5 linked regions of the Xenopus tropicalis genome follow. The protein of the gene in region 2 purifies or fractionates together with the protein of the main gene of each other region. This does not show direct contact. Links are inferred from orthologs where the notes say so. Each region holds a gene or a part of one and is shown on either strand. Other genes may lie near its edges.

Evidence for each region.
Region 1: the proteins of top2a (region 2) and srpk1 fractionate together in Homo sapiens (co-fractionation; 3 studies listed by BioGRID and IntAct, with this or other methods). This does not show direct contact. The link is inferred for Xenopus tropicalis from reciprocal best matches to the Homo sapiens genes TOP2A and SRPK1.
Region 3: the proteins of top2a (region 2) and ctcf purify together in Homo sapiens (affinity purification with mass spectrometry; 3 studies listed by BioGRID and IntAct, with this or other methods). This does not show direct contact. The link is inferred for Xenopus tropicalis from reciprocal best matches to the Homo sapiens genes TOP2A and CTCF.
Region 4: the proteins of top2a (region 2) and znf451 purify together in Homo sapiens (affinity purification with mass spectrometry; 3 studies listed by BioGRID and IntAct, with this or other methods). This does not show direct contact. The link is inferred for Xenopus tropicalis from reciprocal best matches to the Homo sapiens genes TOP2A and ZNF451.
Region 5: the proteins of top2a (region 2) and top1.1 purify together in Homo sapiens (co-immunoprecipitation; 4 studies listed by BioGRID and IntAct, with this or other methods). This does not show direct contact. The link is inferred for Xenopus tropicalis from reciprocal best matches to the Homo sapiens genes TOP2A and TOP1.

The regions. Positions count from the first base shown.
Region 1 is NC_030678.2:69,859,156-69,863,848, forward strand, and holds the start of srpk1 (SRSF protein kinase 1), read right to left. Parts: upstream 3,117-4,693; 5' UTR 3,095-3,116; coding exon 3,082-3,094; intron 1-3,081. UniProt on the Homo sapiens protein: Serine/arginine-rich protein-specific kinase which specifically phosphorylates its substrates at serine residues located in regions rich in arginine/serine dipeptides, known as RS domains and is involved in the phosphorylation of SR splicing factors and the regulation of splicing.
Region 2 is NC_030686.2:8,636,082-8,640,212, forward strand, and holds part of top2a (DNA topoisomerase 2-alpha), read left to right. Parts: intron 1-86; coding exon 87-227; intron 228-1,634; coding exon 1,635-1,718; intron 1,719-1,821; coding exon 1,822-2,016; intron 2,017-2,150; coding exon 2,151-2,280; intron 2,281-2,370; coding exon 2,371-2,517; intron 2,518-2,805; coding exon 2,806-2,980; intron 2,981-3,324; coding exon 3,325-3,377; intron 3,378-3,669; coding exon 3,670-3,822; intron 3,823-4,131. UniProt on the Homo sapiens protein: Key decatenating enzyme that alters DNA topology by binding to two double-stranded DNA molecules, generating a double-stranded break in one of the strands, passing the intact strand through the broken strand, and religating the broken strand.
Region 3 is NC_030680.2:41,135,194-41,139,303, forward strand, and holds part of ctcf (transcriptional repressor CTCF), read left to right. Parts: coding exon 1-5; intron 6-115; coding exon 116-265; intron 266-2,059; coding exon 2,060-2,220; intron 2,221-2,949; coding exon 2,950-3,132; intron 3,133-3,987; coding exon 3,988-4,110.
Region 4 is NC_030686.2:17,110,871-17,115,001, reverse strand, and holds part of znf451 (E3 SUMO-protein ligase ZNF451), read left to right. Parts: intron 1-1,509; coding exon 1,510-3,170; intron 3,171-4,131. UniProt on the Homo sapiens protein: E3 SUMO-protein ligase; has a preference for SUMO2 and SUMO3 and facilitates UBE2I/UBC9-mediated sumoylation of target proteins. Plays a role in protein SUMO2 modification in response to stress caused by DNA damage and by proteasome inhibitors (in vitro).
Region 5 is NC_030686.2:40,921,937-40,926,067, reverse strand, and holds part of top1.1 (DNA topoisomerase 1), read left to right. Parts: intron 1-198; coding exon 199-251; intron 252-336; coding exon 337-426; intron 427-920; coding exon 921-993; intron 994-1,123; coding exon 1,124-1,218; intron 1,219-1,300; coding exon 1,301-1,416; intron 1,417-1,620; coding exon 1,621-1,742; intron 1,743-1,836; coding exon 1,837-1,959; intron 1,960-2,081; coding exon 2,082-2,269; intron 2,270-2,372; coding exon 2,373-2,517; intron 2,518-2,638; coding exon 2,639-2,782; intron 2,783-3,291; coding exon 3,292-3,477; intron 3,478-3,593; coding exon 3,594-3,662; intron 3,663-3,754; coding exon 3,755-3,869; intron 3,870-4,131. UniProt on the Homo sapiens protein: Releases the supercoiling and torsional tension of DNA introduced during the DNA replication and transcription by transiently cleaving and rejoining one strand of the DNA duplex.

The sequences.
Region 1 (4,693 bases), on a different chromosome or scaffold from region 2:
GGTAAGTTATGTCACAGGAGGACCAGAAGTTTTTATAAAAGCTGATACAAGCTTGCATGCGTTTGTTTATAGATGCAAGACAATGATAAAAAGGGAGAGCTGGAGGTAATGGAACTGGATGAGAAATATGATGTCATTGGAATTGCTAAAATGTGGCTGTATGCGTCACACAATTTGACAGTATATGTAAAAGGAAATACTTCACTTTGTTTTGGGAAGTCAGTTTGTTAAAGGAGACATGTTAAAATTAAAAATGTCAGAAACAATCTGGAAACCGGTAAACCCCAACCTTACCCCATCCCTCTGTGTCTTCCTTTCCTCTACCAACCCTATCTTTCCACCTTTACTCTATCTAACACAGGGGTCGGGAACCTTTTTGGCTGAGAGAGCCATAAACACCACATATTTTAAAATGTAATTCCGTGAGAGCCATACAATATGTTTGGCCGCGGATGCTGCAGGGCAAGGTAGGGTGGGTCCCAAGGATACCGGATGTGGATGGGATGCGGAGGAGGGCGTGGCCTGCGCACGGCGGATAGAAGACGTGTTCTAAGGCTTAGAACACGTCTTCTATCCGCCAAGCGCAGGCCACGTCCCCGTTAATTTTTTTATTAAAGATTTGGCAGCAAGCCAGATGCAGCCATCAAAAGAGCTACATCTGGCTACCGAGCCATAGGTTCCCTACCCCTGATCTAACATACAAACTCTGACTGTTTAAACAGAGCTCAACAGAAAAGAGTAACAATCACAAAAGAAGAAAAAGTGAATGCATACAAATTCACTATGTAATAAGCCCACACTTCATTTAAGATGAAAAATAGCTATTCTGTATATTGTCGATGTTGTTTGCCTTTTTTCTTTCTATAAATTTCTAAAATTTAAATTACAAAAAAAAAAAATTTAAAAATGTACCACTGCGTTATACTCCTTTAAATATAGAAGGATTGTGATTAAAAAGGTTGTACTTCGGACTGATTTATTGAGAAATTCCCCCCCAAACCCTACTAGCCACACCCATCTCTCCCACTTCCTGCTGGCTGAATTCTCTGGATGTGTAGGGGAGCCGGCATTGCAAGTATTACAACTCCTGGAGCAAAAGTGACTATATTATCTCATTTATTTGCTGCAAAAAGCAAATATACACTGGGTCAACAAAGACTATACAATTTAGGATAGCTAAAATTAACAATCTAAATTTACTTCAGTACATAAATTTGGACATAACCCTAAAAAAATATTAAAAAAATGAAAAAGAATGGAATGAGTTACAGATCATTTAAACCCTAAATGTAATTGCAAATAGCACTAAATAAACTTATCAAATATATGCTCAATTCTAATATGATGCCAGCAATGCTTAAGGGCCATGAGAGACGGGTAGATTAGTCGGCGCGCAACTAATCTCCCCATAATGCCATCCCACCGGCTAGAATGTATGTTGCCGGTGGGATGGCATACGCGGTGCCGAAATCGCCTCTCACAGCAACTTCTGCGATTTCGGTAAATTGCCGCACCGTGTATGCCATCTCACCAGCTATTTACATTCTCGCCGGTGGGATGTCATATTTGGGAGATAAGTCGCCTGCGACAACGGAGATTTGCCACGGCCCTTAAAAACAAATTGGGACAGGAGCAACTAAAGTCTAGTAAAGTTATGTAAAGATAAAAAGAGCATCCCAGAGAGGGTGGGCCTTTGAAAATAAAGATAGGAGAGATACACCACTCCACAAATCACTGCTTGGGCAAATATTGCAACAAATTAAGAATAATATGTAAAACTGCAAAGATATCATTACCTACAGTGCATAATATTATTAGAGAAATCTGTGTGTGCAAGGACAAGGCCAGAAGCCAATATTATATCTTCGGGCAGCACTGCATTAAAAACATACAGGATTATGTACTGAAAATGACTGCACAAGTTTGAGAATACTTCTGAAAACCATTGTCTGTAAACACAGTTTACAAAGCTAATATTTCACAGTGCATTGTGCCTGAGTTTTCAGAAAGAGCCAGTGCTACACATTAGAACTGATAGGTAGGAAAAACCCTCCCATGTAACTGGAGAAGTAGCAAGCCGGACTTGGATTTCTTACTATTGAGTGGTATTCTGATATCTACTGGGAGCTGCTATCTTGCTAACTTCCCATTGTTCTGCTGATTGGCTGCTGGGAAGGGGGTGATATCACTCCAACTTGCAGCTCAGCAGTAAAGTGTGACTAAAGTTTATCAGATCACAGGCACATGGCTTTGGCACCCTGGGAAATAAAGAATATGGCTATAGCCCCATGGGAAATTTCAAATTGAAATATAAAAAAAAAATTGTGTTTTGAAAAATGGATTTCAAGGCTTCTGCTGCAGAAGCTGTATTAACTGATGCGTTTTGAAAAACAGCTTGGAGTATTGTTCTTAGTGTGGTCCTGCAGGGTTTTGTATTGAGTGCACTTTTATTTATTAGTGACTTAGTTCTTGCATTTCATGCAAAACTATGCAGGTAAATTAATTTTTCCAAGATGTATCCATCCTTGCAGCAAGATCTAGAAAAACTGAATATCATCTGCCACTAAGCCTGGGGATTTTTAATGTTGATAAATGTAAGGTTTGTATTTAATCTGTCCTGTGTGCTCACAAACTAACTAAACAGTTATGTCCCATGTGGCCCACCCTAAAGTCACTCACTAACTAAGAGGTTAGAGGGTTGAAAGCAGGAAGTAGAATTCTGGCTATTATGTTAAGACATCTGCTTTTGCCTAACTATATTACAAATATTTTTTTCTTTTGTGCAGTCTTTTACCCAGTTTCATTTTTACACTGAACTGTTCCTTTAAGTTATCAAGTACAGTAATAAAACAAAGTCTTGATATGCTAAAAGGAATTGCAAAACACTTCCATACAAATGGTATTATTCTCAATAAGAATTGCAAGATAATATAAAGAAACGTTCACAGCTTTACACTTGCTATTCGCATACATTTAAAACCGCAACCACTCACTAGTAATACATGGCTTGTAAGTCAGTCTGTCTTAGTTTTATATTACATGATCCGTCTATAATCATAGAACCCCTTATTACTCCCTCACCTTTTCTCTCCATGGTACGCCGGTGAAACCACGCGCTTATGGTGCGACCCCCAAAACGTCACCAGTGTGCGCTTACAAACGCCAAAAGCGCGTAAGTTGTTTGGACGAGAAAATATCACTCCCACTTTCGTTTTGGCTACGCCTTTTCCTCGAGGGGCGCCTGGGCGGATGTAGCCATGTTGTAGTTGGACTTTTGAGTTAATGTGCGCCTATTTTTTACAACAGACTAAAGGAACTTTTGTTTAGTAAAACTAAATAAGAAAACATGAGTTTTTTTTTAATTCCGCTTGAATCGTTGTGCAATTTCACGTAAAAAATGCTATCAGTGAAGAACAATAAAGAACGAAGTACATAGCATGACACGTGTGCATATGTGTTTGTTGTAAATATGCAAAAAACCCTCAATCCAATTAAAAAAAAAAAAGTGCGGGTGTTTAGTGTTGTCAGCGTCTACCAAGGAGTAGAAGCCAGCAGGGTAAAAGGTCTGGATAAAAAAAGGGGGCGTGATAGGACCAGGAAGGGCTGAGCTATACTTTAAAACTTGCGTTATTACAGAGAGCGGATTGGGCTAGTAGTCAGGGGTTAAAGGGAAATTGTGGCTAGCCAGGGGCAGAATGACTGGGGTGGAAATTATAATTTTACTGGCAAATACACTGCTGTGCCAGCCTGGGCTGCTATATTACTGGCTCCACTGGTGAAATACCATTTGGCAGTCCTATGGGGCAGATTCATCAAAGTACAAGTTTGAATCCCAAAATGGGTAAAATTCGGATCAGATGCGATCATTTCTGACGATCGGAAATGTCACGAATATGCTTACGAAAAAATCGTAATAGTCACGATAATATCATAACGACTGCTTTCTAAGCTAAGGTCTATTGGTCTTAGTGAAGTCGTTTGCACATGGATAGAAAACTGGCTACAGGATCGGGTACAGAGGGTGGTTGTTAATGGCACATTCTCTACTTGGAGTAAGGTTCTCAGTGGGGTCCCTCAGGGTTCTGTACTGGGTCCACTTTTGTTTAATTTGTTCATAAATGACTTAGGGGAGGGTATTATGAGTAATGTATCAGTGTTTGCAGATGACACAAAACTCTGCAGACCAGTCAATTCTATCCAGGATGTGACATCCCTGCAGCAGGATCTTGACCAACTGGCAATCTGGGCAGCTAAGTGGCAGATGAGATTTAATGTGGATAAATGTAAGGTCATGCACCTGGGATGTAAAAATATGCAAGCCCCGTATAACCTTAATGGGACTGCACTAGGCAAATCCATAATGGAGAAGGATCTTGGAGTCCTTGTAGATAATAAACTTGGCTGTAGCAAGCAATGCCAGGCAGCAGCTGCAAGGGCAAACAAGGTTCTGAGCTGTATTAAAAGGGGTATAGATTCACGGGAGGAGGGGGTTATTCTTCCCCTTTACAGAGCACTGGTAAGGCCCCATCTAGAATATGCTGTTCAGTTTTGGTCTCCAGTGCTCAAACGGGACATTATTGAGCTAGAGAGGGTCCAGAGAAGGGCAACTAAGCTGGTAAAGGGTATGGAAAGTCTCGGTTATGAAGAAAGACTGGCCAAGTTGGGTCTGTTTACACTGGAGAAGAGGCGCTTA
Region 2 (4,131 bases):
GGGCACTTTGGTTGTTTTAGAACAGCTAACATCCTGTTTCTAGTTAACGGGTCTGGTGATTGGAATACACTTTACCATTGCAACAGGAAGAAGCCGGTGAACTGTTAGAAGAAGAAGAAACAGAAGTCAATACAGCTGGGCCTGATTTCAATTACCTTCTTGGCATGCCTTTGTGGAACCTGAGTAAAGAAAAGAAAGATGAGCTGTGTAAGCAGAGAGACGTCAAGGTATGACCATGACATGCAGCCTACGTGACTGTTGTAAACCTGATACAAATGAGCAAAATGTGTTTCCGACTTTTACTTGACAGTGCTGAGACTAGTCATTTTCTATCATATCTGTCCAAGTCCTGAGATGCAAGCTACATGACCTTACCTGCAACAAGCAGCTAGGACTGCAACCCAAGCAGTTGTAGTTTCACAGACCTCCATTTCATCTTATAGGGCCTAAGTATTGGGGATTCTATTGCTCCATGTTAAAATTAGATCTTTTTTATTTGAACCTTTTTAAAAGCAGATATATGCAAACCTTTTTACTATTCTACAGGGTTTGATTAACTTGAAACCACACCCATGTTATCACATGACCATACCCATATTAATGGTTGTAGTACAGCAAAAACCTGCCATACTCTGCCTGCCCTACCCTGCCTGTGTGTGCCATACTTTCACTGTGTGTGCCATTCTTGGCTGGTTTGTGCCATACTTGGCCTGTGTGTGCCATACTCTGCCTTCCCTACCCTACCTGTGTGTGCCATACTCTGCTTGCCCTATGCTGCCCGTGTGTATGGCACACACAGGCAGCCTACAGTGACACAATGCTGGCACTGCTCCTACAGTCTGCACAATAAATATATATTAAAAAACTTTTTAATTGCAGTACCACCTCAGTATATGTTCTTTTTGTAGTATGCAGGGATTATTTGTGGGTTTCTACTGCTCCTGAGGTGTGAACAGGGGAACACAGTTTAATAGGTTCTTCTACATTACATCCCAGAGGCTGGTTATCTTCAAACTCAAAAGGCTCTAAAATCATTACAAAGATTTGGTTGTCTGAATAAAAGACCTTTCAAAAAGTCTTAAATGGCAAAGAACTAAAATAGTTCTTTAGAGTTGTTTTTCCATCTTAAGTGAATTTAGTTGTTTGGGTTTGACTAGGAACAAATGTGGCTTATTTGCCAATTCTAAGATGGTTAGATATTATGACCAGTAGTGGTCGGCAGATACAAGCCCATGAAATGTCAGCCTTATATAGCCATATGGTATGGTACCATAAATCTCTGCTACAGCATCATATCTTGGTGTGTGCTGGGCTTCCATTTTTTCTTGCTTTCCTGGATTATGGACCTGGCCAGTTTAGGGCGTTACACCACTGGCGACAGTCAGATACTATACTGGGGGTGCTTCCAAACATACATTACTGTCTCCAGAAACCAACCCTTCTTTAATTGTGACTTTCAGTGGTCGGATAACTCATCAGAGATGTTTGCTTGGGTTTTACTGCATAGCATTTACTTATTACTAAATATGGAGTTGCCTTGATGTTGGTTTGATAATATTTAAATACTTCCACCTTCTCTAGTGGTGAGTGTCACTATCTGGCATTTCCAATAAATGCTGTCATTTTGTTTTTAGAACGCAGAGCTTCAGGACCTGAAAAAGAAATCACCTTCTGACTTGTGGAAAGAAGACCTTTCTGCATTTGTTGAGGAGCTAGACGTAAGTAGTAACATCTATCCTTCCTTTGTCTATTTGGTATTTGTTGCTTTATATAAATTGCTGCGGTTCCAACAACAGGAGTTGTGTTCTTGCTTTGTGACAGCGTGTAGAAGCCAAAGAAAGGGAAGAACAGTCCGTAACAACAGGCAAAGTGGTTAAAGGAAAGAGTGGGAGACCGCAAGTAAAGAAAATGCAATTGCAGGAAATTATGCCATCTCCACATGGCAGGCGTGTTGTCCCTAAGGTCACAACAGCCATGAAAGCGGAAGCCACCAAAAAGATGAAAAAGAGAATTAAGGTAAACGAGCGTTTCTGTATAGATTTAGGTTTGCTTGGCTCAACAATAACTGGCCTTTTTGAGCATATGTATATATAGAATATGTATTGACTTTTGCATTTATAAAATGTACCCAAACATTTGCCATTTGTTAGGGTGAGGATGTTGCTAAGAAGATGGATTTCGAAGACGATGGTGAAGGAGACAGCTTAAATTCACCAGAACAAAGTCCAGAGAGCCTAACGCTTGCCGAAAGATTAAGCAAAAAAGTTAAAAAAGAGCCAGGTGTGTAAATGGTTTTTAATGAAAGCTTCTCTGTTTGCATGCTGGTGTTATGCTGCAATCTAACATTTCTATAACTGCTTTTACATAAAGGCGCAAAGGCTGTCAAAGACAAGAAGCAGGCAACGTTACCCTTCAAGCCAGTAAAAAAAGAGGCAAAGAGCACATTCCAGGATTCAGAGAGCGAGTCCGAGGAAGAAGTGGTGCCACGTGCTGCTCAGCCACGCCGCAATGTTGCAGGTGAGAAATGCTAGTAGCAAATTTACCTCTGCAGTCTGAACACAGTTGGGGTTTTATGAACATAGTGTTTAACATGGTGTTAGGGCTTCCCGACAAATGCCTCTGATGCAAGTACTGGTGCAAAAAGGGGGCCCTATAGAGGCCAGTGCTGGGGGTTTTTTTGTTTGTTTTTAGAGCTTCTTTATTGTTTCATTCATTCATTTACTGATAGTTGCCTAGGCCTGCTATGGAATGTGTTACCACATAAAAGGGTTCTGCTTGATAACAAATGTTTTTATTTGCTTCTAGCTAAAGTGAACTATATGTTGAGCTCTGATGAAGACGGTGAAGAAGAGGGAAGCGGCATAAAGATGCCTCAGGAGAAGAGTGACAGTGAATTCAGTGATTTCAACCCAAAATCTGATTCAGAAGATGAATCCTTTGTAGTTGCAAAGCCAGCCAAAAAGCCCAGAGCTGCGCCCAAGTGAGTACTCTCCCCTCCCTTTAGGTACAAATCAACTTAAGCCATTTCTTGGTGACAATTTTGTTTCCACCATTTAATGCTGCTTACTAAAAAAAGGATGTGATTGGAAACTACCTTACTGGCATCCTGATGGAAATTGGTAGCTTCTAAATGTTAGTATTATATAGACAACATGCATTTTTTCCCTGGCAACCAGGTAGAAACTTGAATGAGGGGGAGTGATTTAAAAAACTTATAAAAAGTAACAGAATTGCAAACATACAGAGTTGGTGACTACTGATTTAAAGGCTTTTTTTTCTGTAAGATTTGATGTTTTGTCTAAAATGGTTTAACTTATTTAACAGGAAAGCTAAAAAGATTGAAAGCCCAGAAAACTCTCCACAGAAAGACAAAGCAGGTATGTTTTATCAAGAATAGCTGCTTGGGATATTCACATAGTAATACATTACATATGGCAACGTGTTTTGGGGGTTTTATGAGCCCAGTACAAATGGGACCACAATGAAATAAAGGATCACACATGTATGTTTACCCCAGTTCAGCCATATGTTGGCTTGTTTTTCTGCTGCAATGAAACATGCTATATTCATAGATAACATAACACAACATATATTAACCATTCTGTATCCTGGCAGATCTGAGTTATGTCTTGGTATTAATGTGACTGGTTCTGTTGTATTTTTGTCTAGCTCCAGTAATTGCATTAGATGAAGATGAGGATACTCCCATAATGACCAGTGCTCCCAGCGCCCCTGCACCGGCTCCCAGTGCCAAAGTGTCAAGTGCTAAAGTGGCAGAGAAGAAACCTGCACCTAAAAAACGAGTCCAGAAACCGAAGACTGGTGAGAACTTCTGTTTTGCAATATATTAAACGTGGGCAATTTTTTTTGTTTAAGTATCTTAATATCCAAGTTTGGCCCACTACAGATCTTTACTGCGTTTGCCGTGACCTTGTGTATACAGAAGTATGCCGATGTAAAACACTTCATTTCTGGTGTTTGTATCACAGTAAATATAATAATAATAATAATCCAATTCTACTTTGAAACTTTGAGTTGGTGGAACATGAAAAAGCCCATACAGAGCTGCAAAATGTTAACAGCTGCATTTACCAGCTCCAGATTGGCAATTGGACTCGTTTCTGGATCAAT
Region 3 (4,110 bases), on a different chromosome or scaffold from region 2:
TTCAGGTAAGTCGATTGTCCATAAAAAGCTGTGTTGTATTTTTCAACAGCTCAGACAAAATACATTTTGTACATAAACTGATAATAATTTATAATGTACATGTTTTTGCTTTAAGGTGAAAAGCCATACGAATGCTACATTTGCCATGCTCGTTTTACGCAGAGTGGGACCATGAAGATGCATATTTTGCAGAAACACACTGAAAACGTGGCCAAATTTCATTGTCCCCATTGTGACACAGTAATTGCAAGGAAGAGTGACTTGGGTAGGTGTCCTTTAAGAGGTGATGGTGTAGAATTATTCAACAGATCCGATCAGTCCAAAACTTTTTGCTGTAAAGGGTAAAAAATGTAGTAACTACATGTAAATTGAGCCAAACTTCCAGTTTTTATCCCATTGTACAGAGTTCATCATTTTTACCACAACTTGTCTGCTTCTTAGAAAAGAATTGTGTGCTTCTTGAGACCCCCTATTTGTTAACCCAGGAACATTTTTCTTGCTTGTGTTGCTCTCTTTTTACATTTGAATGTGGCTCATAGGTAAAGGTTGGGGATCCCTGCTGTGTATTATGACCTGGATGATTGAGACTCTTTATAGACGCATGATAATATACCGTATATACTCGAGTATAAGCCGATCCGAATATAAGCCGAGGTACCTAATTTTACCTAAGAAAACTGGAAAAACGTATTGACTCGAGTATAAGCCCCTCAATGGTGCAGCATGAAAAGCATCCATATACCGGTATACAAAATCTTTAATCCAATAACTAAATATGGCATTTCTGTATTCTTTAAATACAGTAAATTGCTGTTCTGGATGTCACTTCAATGAATACAAAATTATTCTATATAAATTTGATAAAACAACTACTGTCCCACTAGCCATAGAGCTTAGCAAGTTATGTAAACCTCTCATAATATAGAGACCAGTACCTCTCTCTTTTTTTTTTATTTTTTCATTCATGACTGTACATAAGCTGAGAAGAACTGCATGTGGGTACTTTTGATTTAATTAGGTGAGCAGTGATTATGTAAAGAGCTTCAGAGGGGCCTCTTGATATTAATATGAGTGTATTAAGCAAGGCTAGGGCACACGGCTAGCACAAGGATATCATAACCAACTTATACTAAGCATTTCAACAGTGTGGAGTAATGAGAAAAATTGCTCCAGTGGTAGCATTCTATGCCCATAAATCCGCAGGTGGCGGCATATTTAACCTGATCACTTGCTCAGTAGGTATCAGTTACCAGTCTAAGTAAGGCTCTGGTTAGAGGGAGGTGCCACGGTGCTGCTCTTTGTGTCACTTACTGTCATGTTGGCACTCAACACTAACTATATAGTGGGGCTCTGTGCTCTGCTAGGCTGTTCTGCTGCCGTTGTCCTGGCATCCACGGGGGTCCAGGGAGGGGGGGGCTCGGGGGTGCTCCTCAATGTGTCCCTATGTGCTGCGCGCTGCACATAACGTAGCGCGCACGCCGCAGGCACAGTCTGCCTACGGCTCGGGGGGTGCTCCTCCTGTGCTCCAGTGTGTCCCAAAGTGCAGCGGCACGAAGAGCATAATGTCGCGCCCCTTGTACATGCTCCTGAAGGCCGCGCAACTACCGTATTCCATGTAGTTTGGGTGCAACTACCGTATATACCAGAGTATAAGCCGATTGTTACTTTTTAAGCACATTTTTAGGGCTGAAAACTCGGCTTATACTCGATAAATAAAAGTGGTCCTCTATCCAAACACTTTTTTTTCTGTACTGAAGGATACTGTTATTCTTAGCAACTTTGAATACATATTTGTTGAACATTTTCAGTGGTTTTTAGGTTATTAAATGGAGTAAAATGAAGAACCCTCTAATGAGCTGCTTCTTATTTCACAGCCTAACTGGGTAGGGAGGGATTTGATCACAAAGAGGGCTTCTCAATGGAAGCTGATTTGTTTTTATTGTGCTTTTATGAACCAAATGTGACTTCCAGTTTCACATTTAGCCCTGTTTTGTTCAAGAAACAGTCAGTAGGTAAAATGTGTATTTGTATAAATCTTTTTTTTTTCATTTTCCTCAAGGTGTCCATTTGCGAAAGCAACATTCCTACATTGAGCAAGGAAAGAAGTGTCGCTACTGTGACACAGTGTTCCATGAGCGTTATGCACTAATCCAGCACCAGAAGTCTCATAAAAATGAAAAACGATTTAAATGTGACCAGTGTGAATATGCTTGCAGACAGGTATAGTTACTATAAAAATGTTATACAGTACTTTTGTATTGTTGCCTAGGATTAAATGTATCCATATTTTAAAGGGGAAATTCAGGTTATCTAATCAGTGTTTGGTTGGCCTTATTTGTTTTGTATAATTTTTGAATTGTCTGCTTCCGGCAACGAAAAGAGTTTGACAGAATGAATTTATTTTTTCTTATTTGTTTGGCATCTATACATCTCCCCAATTATTGTGTGGTTGCTAGAGTAATTAAGTTATAACAAACCAGTTTAAATCCTGGGTATTATGCCACAAAAAGTGGAGATTGATTCCATATGCTGTTTGAACGCTACTGTTTATCTGACACTAAATTTAACATTAAAGGGATAGTAATGCTTTATTTTACCAGAAAGTGAAGAAGTTATGCCTTTATAATTCGATATAATGGGAAAATCAAGCCTGTCCAAGTGACATCTGCCAGGTTTTTGCCCATATACATCAGTTGGGGTGGTTCTTCGGCCAGATAATCTGCCAAATAGGTCTGGATGACTCTAATCGGTGGCTTAAATCTACCCGTGTGCGATCCTCTCTGATGTGTCAGGAGTAGGTGGGGGCTGTGGGCCAAAATTGGTTTGGGTACCTGTTTACATTTGTATTCAGGCAATTGACGATTGGCAAAACATTTCATACTGTTCATGCACAAAATTTCACATGTTTGTGTTGCAGTCTAAAAAGATATTTAACATTCTTTTTTGTAGGAGCGACACATGATTATGCACAAAAGGACCCATACTGGTGAGAAGCCTTATGCCTGTAGCCATTGTGATAAAACATTTCGACAGAAACAGCTGCTTGATATGCACTTCAAAAGATACCATGACCCAAGTTTTGTTCCTGCAGCATTTGTGTGCTCCAAGTGTGGGAAAACATTTACTCGAAGGGTATGTTTGCATTTTTTCCTTCCTTTACTGGTAGAAGTTAAATTTGGCTTACTATCGCATAACTTAAGATGGTTGCACCCACAGGGGCGTATTTATAATGGAGCACCCAAGGGCCGGTGCATAGGACAGCAGTGCTTGCATGTTTTTTTTGTTTTTTATTTAAAAAAAAAAAAAAAGCCTCTGCAGGGGTCGGGTAGGGGGGTCGGGACACTCTTTGGGAGTGACGTCACATTCACATCACTTCCGCTATGTTGCTTCGTGTAACGTCATGCGCCTAGGGTGGCACTGGACCTATATGCACCCCTGTGCACGTAGAAGGACATTTGAGACTTTTCTTGCTTCAGGGATTCAGAGAGGATGTATTAGTCCATCCCAAAAATTGTCACAAAGCATATGGTGAGAAATGGATGATAGGGAGGTAAATGGGAAACTTGAATACTTCAGACTGGTGCATAAGATTTTATCCACTATGTTTATTTCCATGTGCCGTATCTATTTTCTAACTAATTTAGTTACCCTGAAATATTAGGTGAGTCAGATTAGAGTGGGCATGGTGGTTTGTGTGCAGGTATTAAGGTTTTTGTAAATGTATTTGCTGTTAACAGCAATATGTATCTTACTGTTTAACAACATTTGCACGCTGATCGCCGACTCCTGAAACAGTGTTGCAAGCCACTTGATTAGCACCAATAAAATTTGCAATTTGTTATTTGAGTGATATGGATAAAGCTCTGGGAAAGATTTGGAATCATGGCAATAATGACTTTGTATATAGAGTGTTAAGGATAAAGAAATAAAAAAAAAAAAAATCCCCTGTTGTGAAGAAATGACCTAAAACCTCTGTTCTGTTTGTAGAATACAATGTCAAGACATGCAGATAATTGCACTGGGCCTGATGGTACAGATGGTGAAAATGGAGGAGAAAGTGAAGTGGTTCACAAAAAAGGGAAGCGTGGTCGCAAGAGAAAGATGCGCTCC
Region 4 (4,131 bases), about 8.5 Mb from region 2:
ATCTTTGACTAATAGTTAACGGTTTTTGATGAGCAGAAACATTTAAGTGTGACAAACATGCAAAAGAATAAGAAATCAGGAAGGGGGCAAATAGTTTTTCACACCACTGTATGTATATTGTACTACTGAGAGTTTTTGACCTATACAAGTGAGATCTCCATAAAACTATATATATTTGGTATTGGCACATTCAGAAAACATGGGGCTTTCCAAATCCAGTTGCATTTACAGGCATAAAATCATTTGTTTCTGATATATGTGTTTATATTATGGAGAATATTTGTTTCAAATTTTCAGATATTTACAAGCCTATATGTTGTTACAGAATTAGAATTACAAACAAATTCTAGCATATTTTGAAAGCTTAGATTGGCCTGAAAAAAACAATGTTGTTTTCCTGGAGAAACTAAGTTTTCCCCTCCTCCAAGGAAAGGCCCCTAAAGTGAAAGAGCGCATACTGTTTGGCAAAAGAAGTTCCAGAAGCTCCAAAGGGGATGGCAGTGAAAGGGATAAACTTAATAAGGTTAAAATGAATGTAGAACGTAGTAAGAATATATGAGTGAGAGGAGAGTAGGAGTTCAGATCATAGTTATTTACAGTACTGCAGTGCAAGTATTTAATAGGTTTCTCCTGCAGTGTACAAATATTTTTTTTCTTTGTTAATAGAGTTAAAGGAGAAGGAAATAGACATTTGATTGCTAATAGATTAGCCACAATAGTGTAAGCTAGAACACTATATTTATTCTGCTTTACCATACCTGAGTAAACATGGAGTACTTTTTATTTCTAATTTACACCATTTAAAATTTCATTCTTGAACCAACAAATGTTTTTTTTTAGTTGTACTATTGGTGTGTAGGCGTTTCTCCTACTCCTATGTAACTGGAGGAGTCCCAAGCTGGACTTGGATTTCTTACTATTGAGTGCTATTCTGATCTCTACTGGGAGCTGCTATCTTGCTACCCTCCCATTGTTCTGATCGGCTGCTGGGGGGGAGGGGAGGAAGGGGGGGTGATACCATTCCAAATTGCAGCTCAGCAGCAAAGTGTGACTGAAGTTAATCAGAGCACAAGTCACATGGTTGTGGGCTAAGCCCACGTGAAATTTCAAAATGAAATATAAAAAAATGTGTCTCTTTGAAAAACAGATTTCAGTGCAGGATTCTGCTTGAGAAGCTGCATCTCTGTGCTCTCAGCTCAGATTACAGCAGAGAGGGAGGGAAGGAGAGGGGGGAGAGAGAGGAGCAAACTGAACAAGCAGTGCTGTTTCCTGGATCATGTGTACAGAATAGAAGGAAAGATATGTGGTGTCTCTTTTCACAAAAGACTCAGAGCAGCAGGTGTTTATGTCTGTATTTACATAGACCTTTCTAATAAAGCTTACTTAGATTTTACCTTTCATTCTCCTTTAAGTGAAACTGGAATATGTGCGTGTTCTTTTACAAAAATATTATTACAGTGACAGCAACATTTTAAGTGTAAAATTTTTTTTCTCTCTTCATTCTTACAGAACACGGTGTCCTAATGCACATCCCATGGTTTCTTCAGAGAAAACAATCGCTGAGGTTATGACAGTGTTTCTAGCTAAAGCCTACTGTCTGTCATGTAGGAAGATGTTAAAAAGTGACACAGACATTGCTGAGCATGCCCAGAGAAGCAACCACAAAGCCAAATTAATAACAAGCCTGAACGAATCAATTATGGCATTTTGTTACACCCATGAAGGGATCAAAACTCCATCTGACCTGTGCTTATCAGCAAGTAATGCAAGATTTAAACCTAATATGCTTAAAAGGGCTTTAAATGACAATGATCTATCCAGTACAGATTTATTTGTAAATGAAGGAAAAAACACCATGAGAGGTTCTCCTGCAAAGAGGAAAATACAGACAAGAGATCTGGGTATCATTGTGACAGCATGGTTTTGTGAATGCCTGCAGAAGTTTTCAACCGAGGAAGATGCTGAGAAACACATCATGTTGTCTAATGGCATTTGTCACAAATGTTTGGTTTGTAGTAAGGTGGCTAATGATTTGAGTGTTATTCGGTTGCACATGAGCCGGTTCCATGGAGGAGCTCATTTAAACAATTTTATCTATTGGTGCCAAGACTGTCGTATTGAGCTGCTGAGAATTGAGAATATGATGGCGCATGTATGTGAATGTCACAAAGGTCACTCATACTATTTTGAGCAGGAAACATGGGAGGATGAACCTTCCGCATCAACACAAAGACCTAGTCCATCCAATCTGGTTGCTTCGGAACCTTCTCCTACAAACACAGCAACTACTGCTGGACACTGGCAATGCCACATTTGCGAAGAGATGTTTGATTCTGAAGATAGTGTTAAGCAACACTGTAATAATATAAGTATTCATCAGTTTCACAAATTCTCATGTGATATTTGCAAAAGCCGATTTCACAAAATAGAAACACTTTTCCGACATAGTCAGCATCAGCATGACGGGGAGATAAACATGAAATACATTTGTGGGCTTTGTGATCTTTACTTTGAAGATGAAAAGGACTTCCGTGGGCACTATAATGGTTTGCATAGTTCGGAATATGGATTTGTGCCAGAACAAATGCAGTCTCTTATAAAGAATGAGGAGCAGCCGCTTTCCATTGCTAAGCCAGATGAGAACCGCTTAACCTGTGGTTGTTTAGAAAATTTCCCAAGCAAAGCAAAGAGGGAGGAAGAACGCCGTCTCTGCTTGGCACGACTGCTACAAAAAGGAAGTCTTTGGTACAGCTGCAAAAACTGTTCAGCTACTGGGCAAACATACGAAACCTTAAAGATCCATGGTTGCGCTAAAAGCCAGCAGTCACTTGTTCTTGATATTGGTGTAAAGTGCAGCTGCTGTTCCAAATCATTTCAAGATACAGAAAGGGCTCTGCAGCACTATCATGATAAACACTGCTTCCTTCAAAAACCCAACATTAAACATTTTGCATCCCCAGATTTACCAAAGGAGGTTTTTGAATTTAAGGCCAGTGGAGCAGGTGCTCAACATAGCCAATCTGTAACCCCCCTTGCACGCAGACGGCTTGGCAAGACTCAGTATAGCTGTTCTACAAATGCTACTAAAATGGAAGATTCGCAGTCTGTAGTCCATGCTGCTAAAATCAAAAAGCCAGAAGAAGACGCCAAATCAGAGAAAATGGATATAGGTATTTTGTGTGAATCCGTCCGTTTTCCTTTTTTTTGTTTTTTTTTTTTATTCAGAAAATGTAAAGTTATTTAAAAGTCTAGACAGTTCTAGTGTCAGGCCTCCATTAAAGGAGGCATATTGCTATTCATTTATTTTCCATTCACACTCATTATTTAGCAATAATGAATAATATATATTTCCTAATTTCAATCTTGGCTAAAAAGTACTGTATTAAATAACACCTTCATTTCCATACAGATGAGAATGTTCTTCAACAGTCCATTCCCAGACAGACTGATGAAGGAGCTAGCCAATCACTTTGTCACAGTTCTACCTTTATGCAATTCTCTGAGTTGCATGCTTTTTTACACCCAGCAAAAAGTATATGAATGGGTTTTTGGGAAATTGCTAGTAGCACAAAGACAACTTTTAAAATTACATTCCATCTTGTTTTTGAGTTATATAATGCAGTGACACAAACTTGTTATTGACACCATATGTATCCTTTGAAGAACAGTAAAGGCTTTATTTATAAGTCAAAGAAAGTAGTAAGGTTATGCTGGCCCCTGTCTGCAGTTCACAGGGAATATGCATTATTCTGCAAATTTATATAGGGCCAGAAAGACCAATTTTGTCTAACTGCTTCGTAATGCCTATCCACCGGCAACAATGGCTTGTAGGGAGTGTATGGAGCAAAATCTATTTATACCTTATTAGTAATCCAGGATGCATGAAATATAGCAAATGTTGCTAGGATAAGGCTAAGGATAAGACTACACAACAGTACAAACAGTTGTGTAACTATTGCAAACAGGTTAGCTGCATATACATATTTACATGGGGGTTGTATCTTAATTGTTTTTGGGAAACAATATGGATACAGAGCAGCTAGGGTTATCAAACACCAAAGCAAGTAACACCTCTGTTCTTATCCTAGAAGGAGTGGGTTTCCTAGGCAATTTGTGGATAGATGCCTGAAC
Region 5 (4,131 bases), about 32 Mb from region 2:
CAAAATCTTTTAACCGGTCCGATCGGCGAGTTGACCGATATATCAGCAGCCTCCTGCGATATTGGTCGACTCGCCGACTTGCCATACACGCACCGAATATCATACAAAACGAGGTTTTGAGGACCTCCTGCACTCATATTTATTGTATTCACTATGACCAGTATCACTGTTTAACCTGACTGCTTTTATCTCTTGCAGATGAAATCTTCCAGCGGCAGTGTTAAAGTGAAAAAAGCAAATGGTTTCTCTAGGTAAAGGCAATGGGTCGGTAGAGCAAATATACTGCCACTGGGTGCGGAGTTTCTCTTATTGAACACCCTGCTTCTTCTCTTCTAGTCCTGTGCGGGTTAAAGATGAGCCAGAAGATGACGGCTTCCACATGTCCCCCAAGGAAAATAAGGCAATGAAGAGGCCAAGAGACGATGAGTACGTGAGCAGGGAATGGTTAGAATGGTGAAGGGAGTAGGTTGTCCACCTACTACTGCACTTGTATTCCTCTCATCCAAGATTAATAGCCGCAGTCTTAATAGAATGAGTTGGAATAAATGTCATCAACCTACTCTGCCATATTGCTTGCTTCAGATATTCCGGAGTTATTCTATATAGGTAATATATAAGGAGGGAATACACTAGACAATCTAAGTCTTGGCACAAAGCTGGCCTTTCCAAAGGGCATTTAACAGCCTGGCCTTGAGTTTCACAAACTGTATTGTACTGTGACTGTGTAAGATATGACAGTGTCCAGCCAATAGCTTACATATAACTGAAGCAGTGTGTATGTGGTTTTTACCCCCACCCTCTTTTATTAGAATGAAACTCTGCCCACACAAAATGTTGTCATGTAGCAGATCATAAAGCAGAACTGCCCTAAAGTTTTCCTGTGGGTGCTGATTTTACCTACTGTGTCATTCTGGTTTTAGTGAGGATTACAAACCTAAGAAGATCAAATCTGAAGATGAGAAAAAAGGGAAGAAGCGGAAGCAGGAGGAAGAGGTGAGGTCTATTGCGGAGTAACTAAGGGGCATATTATCCTTTGTAGGCCAGCATCACCAATTTATGCCCCTAAGTGTCCATCTGGTTGGTTGTTTAGGAAGCAGTTTAAAAACATAGTTTCCCTTCACAGGATATTAAGCCCAAGAAAAAAAGTAAGGGCAAAGGCAACGAGGGGGAAGTGAAGAAGAAAAAAGTAAAAAAGGAGGAGGAAGAGAAGTGGAAATGGTAACCGCTTCGTGCCGTGCGTTATTGTATTTTATGGACTGTACAGCATTTCTTCCATTTCTAACACTTCTAACTCCTATAGGTGGGAGGAGGAGCGGCATGCTGATGGCATTAAGTGGAAATTCTTGGAACATAAAGGACCAGTGTTTGCTCCCCCCTATGAACCTCTCCCTGACAATGTGAAATTTTACTATGATGGTAAGTGGCTCTGCAGTATTCCCAGGTGTCCCCGTGCCTTCAGGTACCAGCTTTGCTTTTGTACTTGCTGTTAATAAACCACTTACCTATACAACCCCCTTGCTGGTAGAATAATTGGGAATAAACCCCTGGCCCTTCATATCTGCAGAGGATGGTGAATATATTCAAATGGGCCTTTATCCTTATATCTTCTGCTCGCTGCAGGTAATCTTGTAAAGCTCAGCCCAAAAGCCGAAGAAGTGGCCACGTTCTTTGCAAAAATGTTAGACCACGAGTACACTACTAAGGATATCTTTCGGAAGAACTTCTTCAAAGACTGGAAAAAGGTAGTTTTTTTTTTTTTTTTTTTCTTTGTTTGATTTAATCCCTAACTCTTTGAATCTGTCCAACTAATTCAACCGACTTCCTGGCCGCTTTCAGGAGATGACAGCCGACGAAAGAAACCTAATCACCAACCTGGGCAAATGCGACTTCAACGCGATGAGCCAGTACTTTAAAGAGCAATCGGAAGCGAGGAAAAACATGACAAAGGAAGAGAAGCAGGTGCTTAACCTTGAGAAATTGAGTTTTGCTCAGTAATGCAGAACAATTAGCTGCTATGGGTTCTAGTCGATAATAGGTCAGACAAGGGATTTTGGGCCTCATTTCTTTTATTCCTGCTACAGAAAATCAAAGAAGAGAATGAGCGGTTACTGCAGGAGTACGGCTTTTGTGTCATGGACAACCACAGGGAACGTATTGCTAACTTCCGCATAGAACCTCCCGGCCTGTTCAGGGGCAGAGGAGATCACCCCAAGATGGGCAAACTTAAGAAGAGGATAATGCCGGAAGACATCATCATCAACTGCAGCAAGTATGTAAAAACCCAGCAATACCAATTTGTGTTCATGTACCTTGTGTGTTTGGAATGTAGGAATTTTTTTTATTATCACTTCCCCCACCCCCCTTGATTTTAGAGACTCAAAATATCCTGTTGCTCCTGCTGGTCACAAGTGGAAAGAGGTTCGGCATGACGGCAAGGTTACATGGCTGGTATCATGGACAGAAAACATTCAGGGTTCCATCAAATACATCATGCTCAACCCTAGCTCCCGAATCAAGGTAAATAGATAATTATGGGCAGCCTGGCCACTAAGGCACTTCTGTTGTTGCTTTATATCCTAATGGAAATGGATCTAGAAAATTGAATTCCTGCAACTAACAATTCCTGTTTGCCTTTCAGGGTGAGAAGGACTGGCAGAAGTACGAGACTGCCCGAAGGCTCAAGATGTGTGTTGAAAAGATCCGCAATACTTACAAAGAGGACTGGAAGTCCAAAGAGATGAAAGTCCGACAGAGAGCAGTAGCGCTCTACTTTATAGATAAGGTGAGGCCCTTTTGTGTTTGATAGATACAAAACTGCGTTTGGTCTTGCATGTGTCTACTCGGCCCATCAACACTGCTAAACTATTAGGATATATAACAAAGGTCAAGGGTGGGTTTCAACAACCCATCCCGTGAACCTGTCTGATTGCAGATGATACTGTCTGCTGTTCTAAATGGGATGATGGGAAGTGGCCATGCATGTTTATTGCAACTAGTACAGTATACACTGCTTGTTGTGTCCTAAGGAGGTATGGGTCAGGTCATCTAGGCAGGCCTGCAACTAAACTAGATATTTTTGCAGTCCAAGGATTATCCCAGACAGCAGAGGCTATTCCTGAAGTAGTCACTGTATAGGCTGTATGCCTTCCCATTTTGTGGAATTCTTTCTTGTGACCCTAAGCTATTCCAGGAGTGCTGCTGGCCTGGCATTACTTACCCCCCCCCCCCCATGTTTGTATGTTTCACCTTAGCTTGTATCCTAATTCTACCCACCAAATCAATCCTTTTCAGCTTGCATTGAGAGCTGGCAACGAAAAGGAAGAGGGAGAAACAGCAGATACTGTAGGTTGTTGCTCCTTGCGAGTGGAGCACATCAATCTCTTCCAAGAGTTGGACGGCCAAGAGTTTGTGGTAGAGTTCGACTTCCCGGGTAAAGATTCCATCCGCTACTACAACAAAGTGCCAGTGGAGAAAAGGGTAAGTATACGGAGTTGCATTTCTAAATTTGTTTAGCTGAAAAATCTCCCCAATAAACATGGAAGGAAGCTGTGACTTTATGTACTAAAATTTTCCTTCTCTGGTGCTCTGCTCAGGTTTTCAAAAATCTTCAGCTCTTCATGGAAAACAAGCAGCCTGACGACGACCTGTTTGACAGACTCAACGTATGTAGATTTGACTTTGGACATTCAGGATTTTTCTGTAAACCTGCCTAGGACATATGAAGGTTTATGTCTTTTTATATCCCTTCTTTCAGACAAGCATTTTGAACAAGCACCTTCAGGACCTGATGGAGGGACTAACAGCCAAAGTATTCAGAACATATAACGCCTCCATCACCCTGCAGCAACAACTAAACGAACTCACTAACGGTAAGGCCCCTTTCTTACCCTACGTGGGCTGTAACTAGCGGGGGGTGTCTTATTAATACGTTTCTAAATAAATGTTCTATTGTGTTCTTAAAGATGGCATTATTATATTCCTCTGTCAGCTTGCTCATGAGTCCTGTTGTGACACTCTTCAGGTACAGGTATAGGATTTATTATTCAGAGTAGTTGGGACCTGGGGTTTTCTGGATAAGGGATCTTTCTGTAATGTCTATCTCTATACCTTGTCTTCTAAAAAAAATTGTAA